Linked DNA regions of Coturnix japonica. The protein of the gene in region 2 binds, or shares a complex with, the protein of the main gene of each other region. Links are inferred from orthologs where the notes say so. Each region holds a gene or a part of one and is shown on either strand. Other genes may lie near its edges.

What was found.
Region 1: MBTD1 (region 2) and VPS72 share a complex: the UniProt entries of both Homo sapiens proteins name them as parts of the nuA4 histone acetyltransferase complex. The link is inferred for Coturnix japonica from reciprocal best matches to the Homo sapiens genes MBTD1 and VPS72.

The regions. Positions count from the first base shown.
Region 1 is NC_029540.1:2,245,158-2,249,754, forward strand, and holds VPS72 (vacuolar protein sorting-associated protein 72 homolog), read right to left. Parts: upstream 2,952-4,597; 5' UTR 2,889-2,951; coding exon 2,772-2,888; intron 2,207-2,771; coding exon 2,054-2,206; intron 1,853-2,053; coding exon 1,741-1,852; intron 1,632-1,740; coding exon 1,452-1,631; intron 1,367-1,451; coding exon 1,225-1,366; intron 1,057-1,224; coding exon 675-1,056; 3' UTR 589-674; downstream 1-588. UniProt on the Homo sapiens protein: Deposition-and-exchange histone chaperone specific for H2AZ1, specifically chaperones H2AZ1 and deposits it into nucleosomes.
Region 2 is NC_029533.1:8,729,287-8,733,097, reverse strand, and holds part of MBTD1 (MBT domain-containing protein 1), read right to left. Parts: intron 3,634-3,811; coding exon 3,529-3,633; intron 2,744-3,528; coding exon 2,596-2,743; intron 853-2,595; coding exon 770-852; intron 436-769; coding exon 201-435; intron 1-200. UniProt on the Homo sapiens protein: Chromatin reader component of the NuA4 histone acetyltransferase complex, a multiprotein complex involved in transcriptional activation of select genes principally by acetylation of nucleosomal histones H4 and H2A.

The DNA.
Region 1 (4,597 bases), on a different chromosome or scaffold from region 2:
CACCCTGTTCCCCCCCCAAAGTTGGGGGCACGGTGTCCCCCCGCCCCCCATCCCTCCCCCCCAAGGCCGTACCTGGCTGCTGCCCGGCGCTGTGTATCCTGCCTGGGCTGTGCCCGGTGCTGAGCCAAGGGCTCCGGCCGCGCAGGGCATGAGATCAGCGTTTTATTCTGCGAGCCGGCAGTGGGGAGGGGCGAGATCACATATCCCGCTGTTATCGAGCCCTACCAGCGCCCCGCGCTGCTCCACCCGGTACCCGCCGCCCTCAGGAGCCCCCCCCACCCCCCCGGGGCATCGGGGCTCATCGCTGCGTCCGCCCCATCGGGGGGGGGGTGAAGGTTTGGGGTTGGTGCTGTGGGAGGCACCTCTATCACCGCAGAGAGAGGCTGCCCCACATGTCCCGGAGCTGCCCCACATCCCACAGCTCTGAGACCGCCTGTGTGCCCTTCTCACCTCCAGCCCCAATCTGAACACTATGGGAGGGTGTGTGGGGCACTGCATGGATCTGCCTGCAAACAAGGCTTCATTTCATCCTGCTGGATAACCCAGCAACAAGGGCACGACCTGCGCTCCCCCCTCACCTCCAGCTCCTTCTTTTTTCTCCTTTTTATTACAAAAAAGAAGCCAAGAAAACAACAACACAAAACAGGTTGACATGGAACAAGGAACAGGCGCTCTCAGGCCGTGGGCACGCTCTGCTTGATGATGATCTTCTGCCGCGTGGCTCTCAGACCAGGGTCAGGGCCAGGAGGAGCAGCCCCCAAAGCAGCGGATGCAGCAGCGGCGCTGGGCAGCCCGTGGGCCGTGATGTATTTCTTGTAAGCCTCACGGATGATTTTAAAGGCTCGGATGTTGGAATAGGGGATGTCAGTGATGGGGTCACGATATACAGCGGGTTTGTGGGTTACAGGGCAGATCTCCCGCACCGGCAACCGCGGAGCCTTCGATTTGGGGAAGAAACGTTCAAAGGTTTCATCATCAGTGAAGGAGATGAAGGTGCGGGAGCACTTGGAGCTGGAGGCTGGAGCAGCTTCTGCCTGCTGAGGGTCTTGGTCCAACCTGGAAGAGCCACAATCAGCTCTAAGGGATGCACGGAGCTGGGGGAGCCCAGGCTGTGGGCAGCACTAAACATGCTGCTCCACACTGAGCCCCAGGGATGGGAGCGATGGGGACTGTGTGCAGCATAAGGGAAAAGCATCAGGATCCCATCTGCTGTTCCCAACTCACCCCTCCACGTCCACATTCTCCTCCTTGCCCAGCTCTGTGATGAGGGGCATGGTGACGGACCAGTACCGGATCACGGGCCCCACGCATTTCCTCTTCTTCTGCACCTGCTTCTTCTTATCAGCCTCCAGGCGTTCGTAGTTCTCTGGGGAAGCAGAGATGAGCCCAGAGGGTCTCAGCACCCCCCACTACACCCCCCATCCCATTCCCAATCCCTGTGCTCTCCTCACCCAGCGAGCGGAGGTTGATCTCCTCCGTGATCTTGGCCTCCTCCAGCAGCTCCTCCTGTGTCAGCGGGCGGTCGTAGTTGGGGCCTCCCTTCTTGCGCTTGGATTGAACCTGGCGCTCCTGGATACGCAGGAAGGTCTGACGTGTGTGCTCTGTTGTTGACTGCCTCATGTGCTTCCGGCCTGCAGTGGGAGGATGGGGCTCAGTGTGGGGCCAGCACAGCTCCCAGGGCAGTGGGGTGCCTGGTTCCAGCCCAGGGATGCTGGCACATCCCATCCTGACTGCACTCACTGTCTCCTACTTCATCCTGGAGTTCCAGTGGGGCTAATTTCACCTCTCGGGCCTTTTGGGAGCTGCTGCTGGGGGTGTCGGCCTTCTTGGGTCGAAGGCTCTTGATGGGCTCCTAAGGGTTGGGCAGGAGGGATGTGAGGAGGGAGAAACCACATGGGGCTGCCCCATGTCCTCCAAGGGACACGTCCTCCCCACAGTCAGCAATTAGCAGATTGCTAATTATCCCATCCATCTGGGGCCATCCGTATCCCTTCCCAGCAGGTCAGAGGACACTGGGATGGACCCAGCCCCATCCCCACTTTCCCCTCCTCACCCTGTAGGCCTTGGTGACCACGCGGCGGCGCCGTTTGGGTTCGCTCTCATCCTGGTCGCTCGTCGGTTCCTCGCCCTCATCGATGTCAAAGTCGGAGTCCACCTCATCGTCACTGTCCGACTGGTCGCCCCGGTACTCATCATCCCCCGACTCCTGCAGGGACAGATGGGCAGCGTCACAGCCAGGGCTGCGCTCCACCACCCCCCCATGGGCCATTCATTGACAGCTGCCCCTGGGGGTCCTCCCAGCCCCATTTGGAGCCCCTGTTAAAGACCATCTAAAGCCACCCCTGCCCCATTCTGTCCTCCTAAGTGCCTCCGTCCCCATTCTGACCCCTCAGTGCCCCCAGCCCCTCCAGGACCCCCCCCAGTTTCCCTCACCAACCCCTTCAGGGCTCTAAATGTCCCCGATCCCACTCAGCCTCCATTGCAACCCTCTCATCTCCCCTCACACCCCCATAAATCCCCTTCCAGGCCTCCCCTGAGGACCCCCCGCACCCCCCCGACCCCCTTTAGGCCCCGGGTTCCCTCCCAACCCCCGTCTAAGGCCTCACAACCCCCTCAAACCCTTCAGTCCACCTCACACCCCCATAAATCTCCTTCCTGACGACTCCCCGGACCCCTCACGACCCCCGACCCCCTTTAGGCCCCGGGTCCCCCCTCTAAGGCTTCACACCGCCCCGCAGCCCCCCTGCCCCAGCCCGTCCCGGCCGTCGCACCTCAGTGAACCCCCCATACGTGGTCTGGTAGAACTCATCCTCCTCCTCGGCCTCCAACAATCCCGACAGCCGGTTCCCCGCCGTGCGCCGCGGGGCGCGGCCTTCAGCCAAACTCATCGCGGCGCCTCCGCCGCCATCGGCGCTCGACTCGTCGTCCTGCCGTAGGGGCGGAGCGAACGATGTAGCGCCCCCTTGCGGCCCGGAGGTCCGGAAGACTGGGTTGATTTCTATTGGCTGCTCGAGGAGCACGTGACTCACATCCCCCCCCTCCTCCATACGTGGGTGGTACCGAGGGGGCGTGGCCTCGCGCGAGGCGGCGGCGGGCGCAGGAGGCGGCAAGATGGCGGCGGCGGGGCCCGAGTCGGGGGGCAGCAGCGGCAGCAGCGGCGGCCTCGGGGGTACGGGGGGACTAAGGCCGGGCCCGGGGGCGGCGGGGGAGGCGGAGCTGAGAGCCGGAGGGACGAGGAGCGGCTGGTGGGGGGGGGGGGGGGGGGGGGGGGGGGGGGGGGGGGGGGGGGGGGGGGGGGGGGGGGGGGGGGGGGGGGCGGGGGGGGGGGGGGGGGGGGGGGGGGGGGGGTTGAGGTGACGGTCTCCCCCTGCCCGGTGGGGTGTCGCGGCCGTTGGGGGCTGTGGGGCCGTTTGGCACCGTGTGGGGGGGAGGGGGGTTGGTCACCATATAGTGATGTATGTGGGGGATATGGGGGGTGTGGGGCTGCCCTCGGCCCGGGGTAGGGATGATGGGGGGCACTTAGAGCTGCGATTCGGCCGTGTCAGTGTTGAGAGGGGGCTTACACTCCTTATTGCCTTCGAAGTTGGTGGTAATGGGTCTGGTTTAGGGATGCTGGACGTGGAACCGGAGTGATTTCTACCGCCGTCCCTGGCACAGAGCGCTGAGGCCGTTCCTGATTGCAGGGCAGAGCACGGAGAGCTTCTGGTTGCCCAAAGGGGGACGGCTGGGGGGCTGCTGCCCAGCGGGGCCTCATCTCGGCGGCCTCCTGGCATCGCGCTCCTCATTTGGAGCCTCTGGAAATGGGTCTGTGCCCCCTCCCCGCCCCCTTTGTTGGTGCTCCCTGCTGTTCCCACGGCGCTGTGAGGAATGGGGGGGTCCGTGGCTCTGCCGGCTCAGGGTGAAGCTGCTCTTTCTCCTCCCGCCGTGCTTTGAGTTCCCTTTGGGAGCTCGGAGATGTCACACATCTCACCTCTCTCACCCGGAGGAGGAGCTGCCGCCTCCATAAAGCTCAGAGAGCGTGGAGAGCTTCACATGGGATAGAAGTGCACGAGTCTCAACCTCTTCTCCCTCCCTGCTGGGATCTGCGCCGCCGTTTGCTTTGCAGGGCAGTCTGGTGTTGGTCAGGGTGTTTTTCCTGCTGGGTTTCAATCTTGGTGGCAGAGCTGCGTGATGTGAAGTGCGTTCACTTCGGCTGATCCCCAGCAGTGCAGCATTTAAAGCTCTCATCCCATCTCTGGGGCCTCTCTTAGACTAAAGGGGGTGTCGGGGGGGGTGGTCGGTGGTTGTGGGGCTGATTGCTCTGGGTACGGGGCATTATTTTTTCTAATGCAAAATCTTAAAGCATCTCAGACCCCGCTGGATGTGGGGAAGGGATGTGGGGCCGGGATGTGGGGCTGACTGTTCAGGGCACAAAGCTTTGCTTTCTCCATAGGTAAACCCTAAAGCCGGCCCCACAGCTCGGTGCCCCCCCTGGGCCGTGCGTGGTTCACCCCAGGGCTGATTACTCACAGAGTCTCGCAACTGAAATGACTGGGACGGAAGGATCGGGGCGTCCCACCCTTCCTGCTCCCGGGGAATCACACGGGGGAGGGTTTCT
Region 2 (3,811 bases):
GCTTTTTTTTCCCCTTACATCAAATAAGCATCTTCTGGCAACAAAACAGTGAACTACTAAGTTGCCACAGAGATGCCCAGAAGTACTTTAAAAGTCAATGAGGAAGAGATTGGAACTGTACACTTCTAAGCATCAGTGAGAATTTCTTCTGTTTTGTTATACTTAGTGAGCAACTGCATTATTTACAAGGCAGAACTTACACTGTGGTGCTGGAGGCTGCAGCTGATATCCAGTTAGCTGACACCATCCCACTGGGTAGAGGTCTGGGGACTCACAGTCCACCCACTGATCATACTCATCTTCCCACCCATCAAAGTGTATCCTCAGCAGACGATGGATGATGCGAGTTACCGTGGCCACACAGACCAAGCGAGGTTCCATCAGATCAACGGCCTCCAGTTTCATTCCAACATGAAACCCATGGTTTGGAACTTCCTGGGAAAGGAAACACATCAAGGCAGCAAATGTGAAAAAAGCGTAAATTAAATTGGATATGCAAACGGTGCTGAAACAAACATTTCAGTCACTTTAGCTTAAGAAATTTTCAAGCATCATTTATGAAGGTAAGTACAGGACTGTGTGGAACAATTTCAGACTCCAGGAATAAGGGCTGTCTGATTATATTCTAATCCATTGGGTTAGTTTTTCACAACTGTACTTAAAGAAACAGGTTAATCCCGTGAGCACACAGATTGTAGTGTGAAGAACATATTGCAGTGTGAAGAAAACCCCAAATTAAACATAAAGACGGACACTTAGTGTTTATTACCTTATTGAAGAGCTTTACAGGTGCTGCTATTGAGTCAGTTTCCCTGAGGTAGTCAAACCATTTGAAAGGGAGTTTTGTATAACCTGTAAATTTTAAACAATACTTTCATAAATCAACTGCAAACTTTGTATGTTAGAACATCAACAAGAATACAACAGTGGTACTGTGCTATGGCTAAAAAGGCAAAAATGCAAAACATTAACATCAGGAATCTCCATTCTCTGAGCTCTGGCCTAATGGACAACACAGTCAACTGGACACTGCCTTTTTGCAACAAAGATGAATGAATTTCTGGATAATGCACAAAGTATCATTTGATGTTAAGATCAATTGTCGACACTTGAAGCTTTCTGTTCACGCAGATCCTTCATCTCTACAATGCCCCACACAAATGACCCAGAGCACATAACGTAATTAAGCACATCCAGTGTCTTTCCTGTGGGGAAAGAGCTCCACTACTGGAAAATTTGATGCATTAGGAACAGATTCAAAGAACAAGTATGGATACTTAAAACCTTCAATAATAAAGTTAAGGTTAGCAATAATAGAATAAATTACAGGATTTTTTTCCCCTGATCTTATAAGTTATTTGGTTTTTTACCTTTCCCATTTCTTATATACTCAGCTTTTGTTCATCTGCTGAATGTGCCTAAAAGTCTTATGAGTATTAAAGCACCTTCAGCTTCTGCTGGTTTCAGCAAGAGATGAAGATATTAGAAAGGAATCAACTTAAAAGCAGGAATTGCAGGGGTTTCACAGTAACTGATGTAACACATCCACACTGCTAAATGTAAGCTAAAAAGAAAGGTGTTCACTTTTGGTACGTAACTGTCTGCAGGAAGAGATGCAACAGGAAAGCTAATTGTTAAGGGAGATCTCTTGGTTTTGAGAATTAATGCTTGTTAATGTACAGTTCCTCTGGAACTGTATGTGTGGACTACTATCATACACAAGTCCAGACTCCTGCAGCACATTTTGCAGGTATGACCATGCTCATGAGTTTCTAGGCAATACATTCACTAGTTAACTGGAAAATAGCAAATTTGCCTTAAATGCCCTTAAAAATATTCAAGGATGACAAATTCAGTAGTGTGCAATAATACGAATATAACATTCTTTGTGTTGTGTTACACAGTTATTACCTAGAAAATCATTCAATAAATACAAGTAGAAGCCTGCAAGCAGAATGAAGAAAAACCATCTCAAACCCATCATTATTTGCTGTTACATGCCTAATTAAAATTCCCTTTGTAAGCTGCTAGACCTTGATAATACAAATCAAAAGATGAAGGCAGTAAGTCTTCTGAAGGCACATGTGCTGGTGGACAGACAGCTTATTCTCACAGAAGGGATGATGCGGCATACAGCTCTAATGGCTACTTCCCTGCAGTTCAGGTTTGTGCATATTCTTCTGAAATTTACTGCTACTGTCACTGATTAACTCAAGTCTTTACAGTGTTCATTAAACCTCTGCAGGTCTGGATTTACCAAGACAATTTATAAACAGACCATTCAGCGACTTGCATATTTCTATCTCCCATTCACATAATGGCTATGCTGCTCAACTAGCAGCTGTCCTCAAATTACAGCAGTAAAGGCAAATAGCCAGTGTATCATAAGGACGTTCGATTTCCCTTTTTCTCAGTTATAAGTTTCTCTGTTTTGAAGGTTATTTTCAAGTTGAGCTGTTTTATTCGTTTCTGACTTGAGAGCATCCTAAAAAGTGAAATGAATTTTGTAGACTGATTTAAGAAACAAAGCATATGGCACATACAATATCACTGAAAAATACTCAAAATAAAATGTGGTCAGAATTCTATATGTACCTCTGGGTGGAGTTAGTTCAATCATGTTAATTTCACAGAAACCAACAGGGAAAATAGAAGGGGAAGTGGCATGGTAACAAAACCAATCAGACCCATCTGCTGCTTCTGAGCCATCAATCCCAATCATAAGATAGCCATCTGCTAAAACCTTTGTAAAGAAAAACAAAATTTGACATTAAATACCTTGAACTGTGTGATAACGCTAGAAAGAAAACATGCCATGTTTCAAGAGTGAAAAGTAACTCATAATGAAAGCACTTAGAAGTACATTCAATTACAATAAAACAGGAAAAGCAAAACAAACTGAAATCATACCTGTCTCCAAGACTGTGTGCTCTATTGTCAAATGTACCTTTGTGAACTGCAAAGTTATGAGACGAACATTTCCTTTTTCTGAGCTCTAGTTTATTTTATGTGAGCGTATCAGTTCTATCTTTAAAGTTTTATGCTTCAGTTTACTCTACCTGTAAGATATTCTGCACACTATCAAGAAAAAGAGATTTGAAATAATGACCGCACTCATTGGTAAGCTTACGCAAAGTTGCTATGCTACTTCTTTAGTCCATTTCTCTTCCATTTTAATAAAGATTTAATGTTGGTGAGATCCCTTTTAATCAATCTAGAAAAATCTTACCTTCACAGACTCCAGCAAGCAAGATGAGGCTTTTGTTTTGAACACAACAGCAAAATACTTGGGATAATTAGCAGAAGACTGTCTTGAAAATTAATCTCACAAGTATTGCATATATTAGTTAAATGTAAGGCTGAATCTCCAGAGATTAAAATCAAAATTGAACATACATATGTTCTTTTCCACAGTAGCTGTATCTAACAATTAATGGATTCATTTTCTGAGCTTTGTTTCTAACCTGAAACAAAGGTGAATGTAAAATGGTTCTTCTGTCTTCTGACAACCAATGTTGGTTTTCTTACCTTTCTAATAGTTGCCACACATATTGCTGAAAGGTTTAAGGGGTCTATAGCTTCCAGTTTCATTCCTTCTTTAAACCACTCTCCAGCTGTGTCCACCTCTTTCACCTAAATAAAAATAAAAAATACAATCAGATGATGGCACCAGAAGCTCAGAATCCAATAATCAGCCACAGCCAAAGGATCAGAGTGAAATGCCTGTACTGTCACCTCTGGTTACGACTAGAAGGACAAATGATTGAACTACATGAATTAAAATTCACCAGTGCTTCTGCTGGGCGTATTC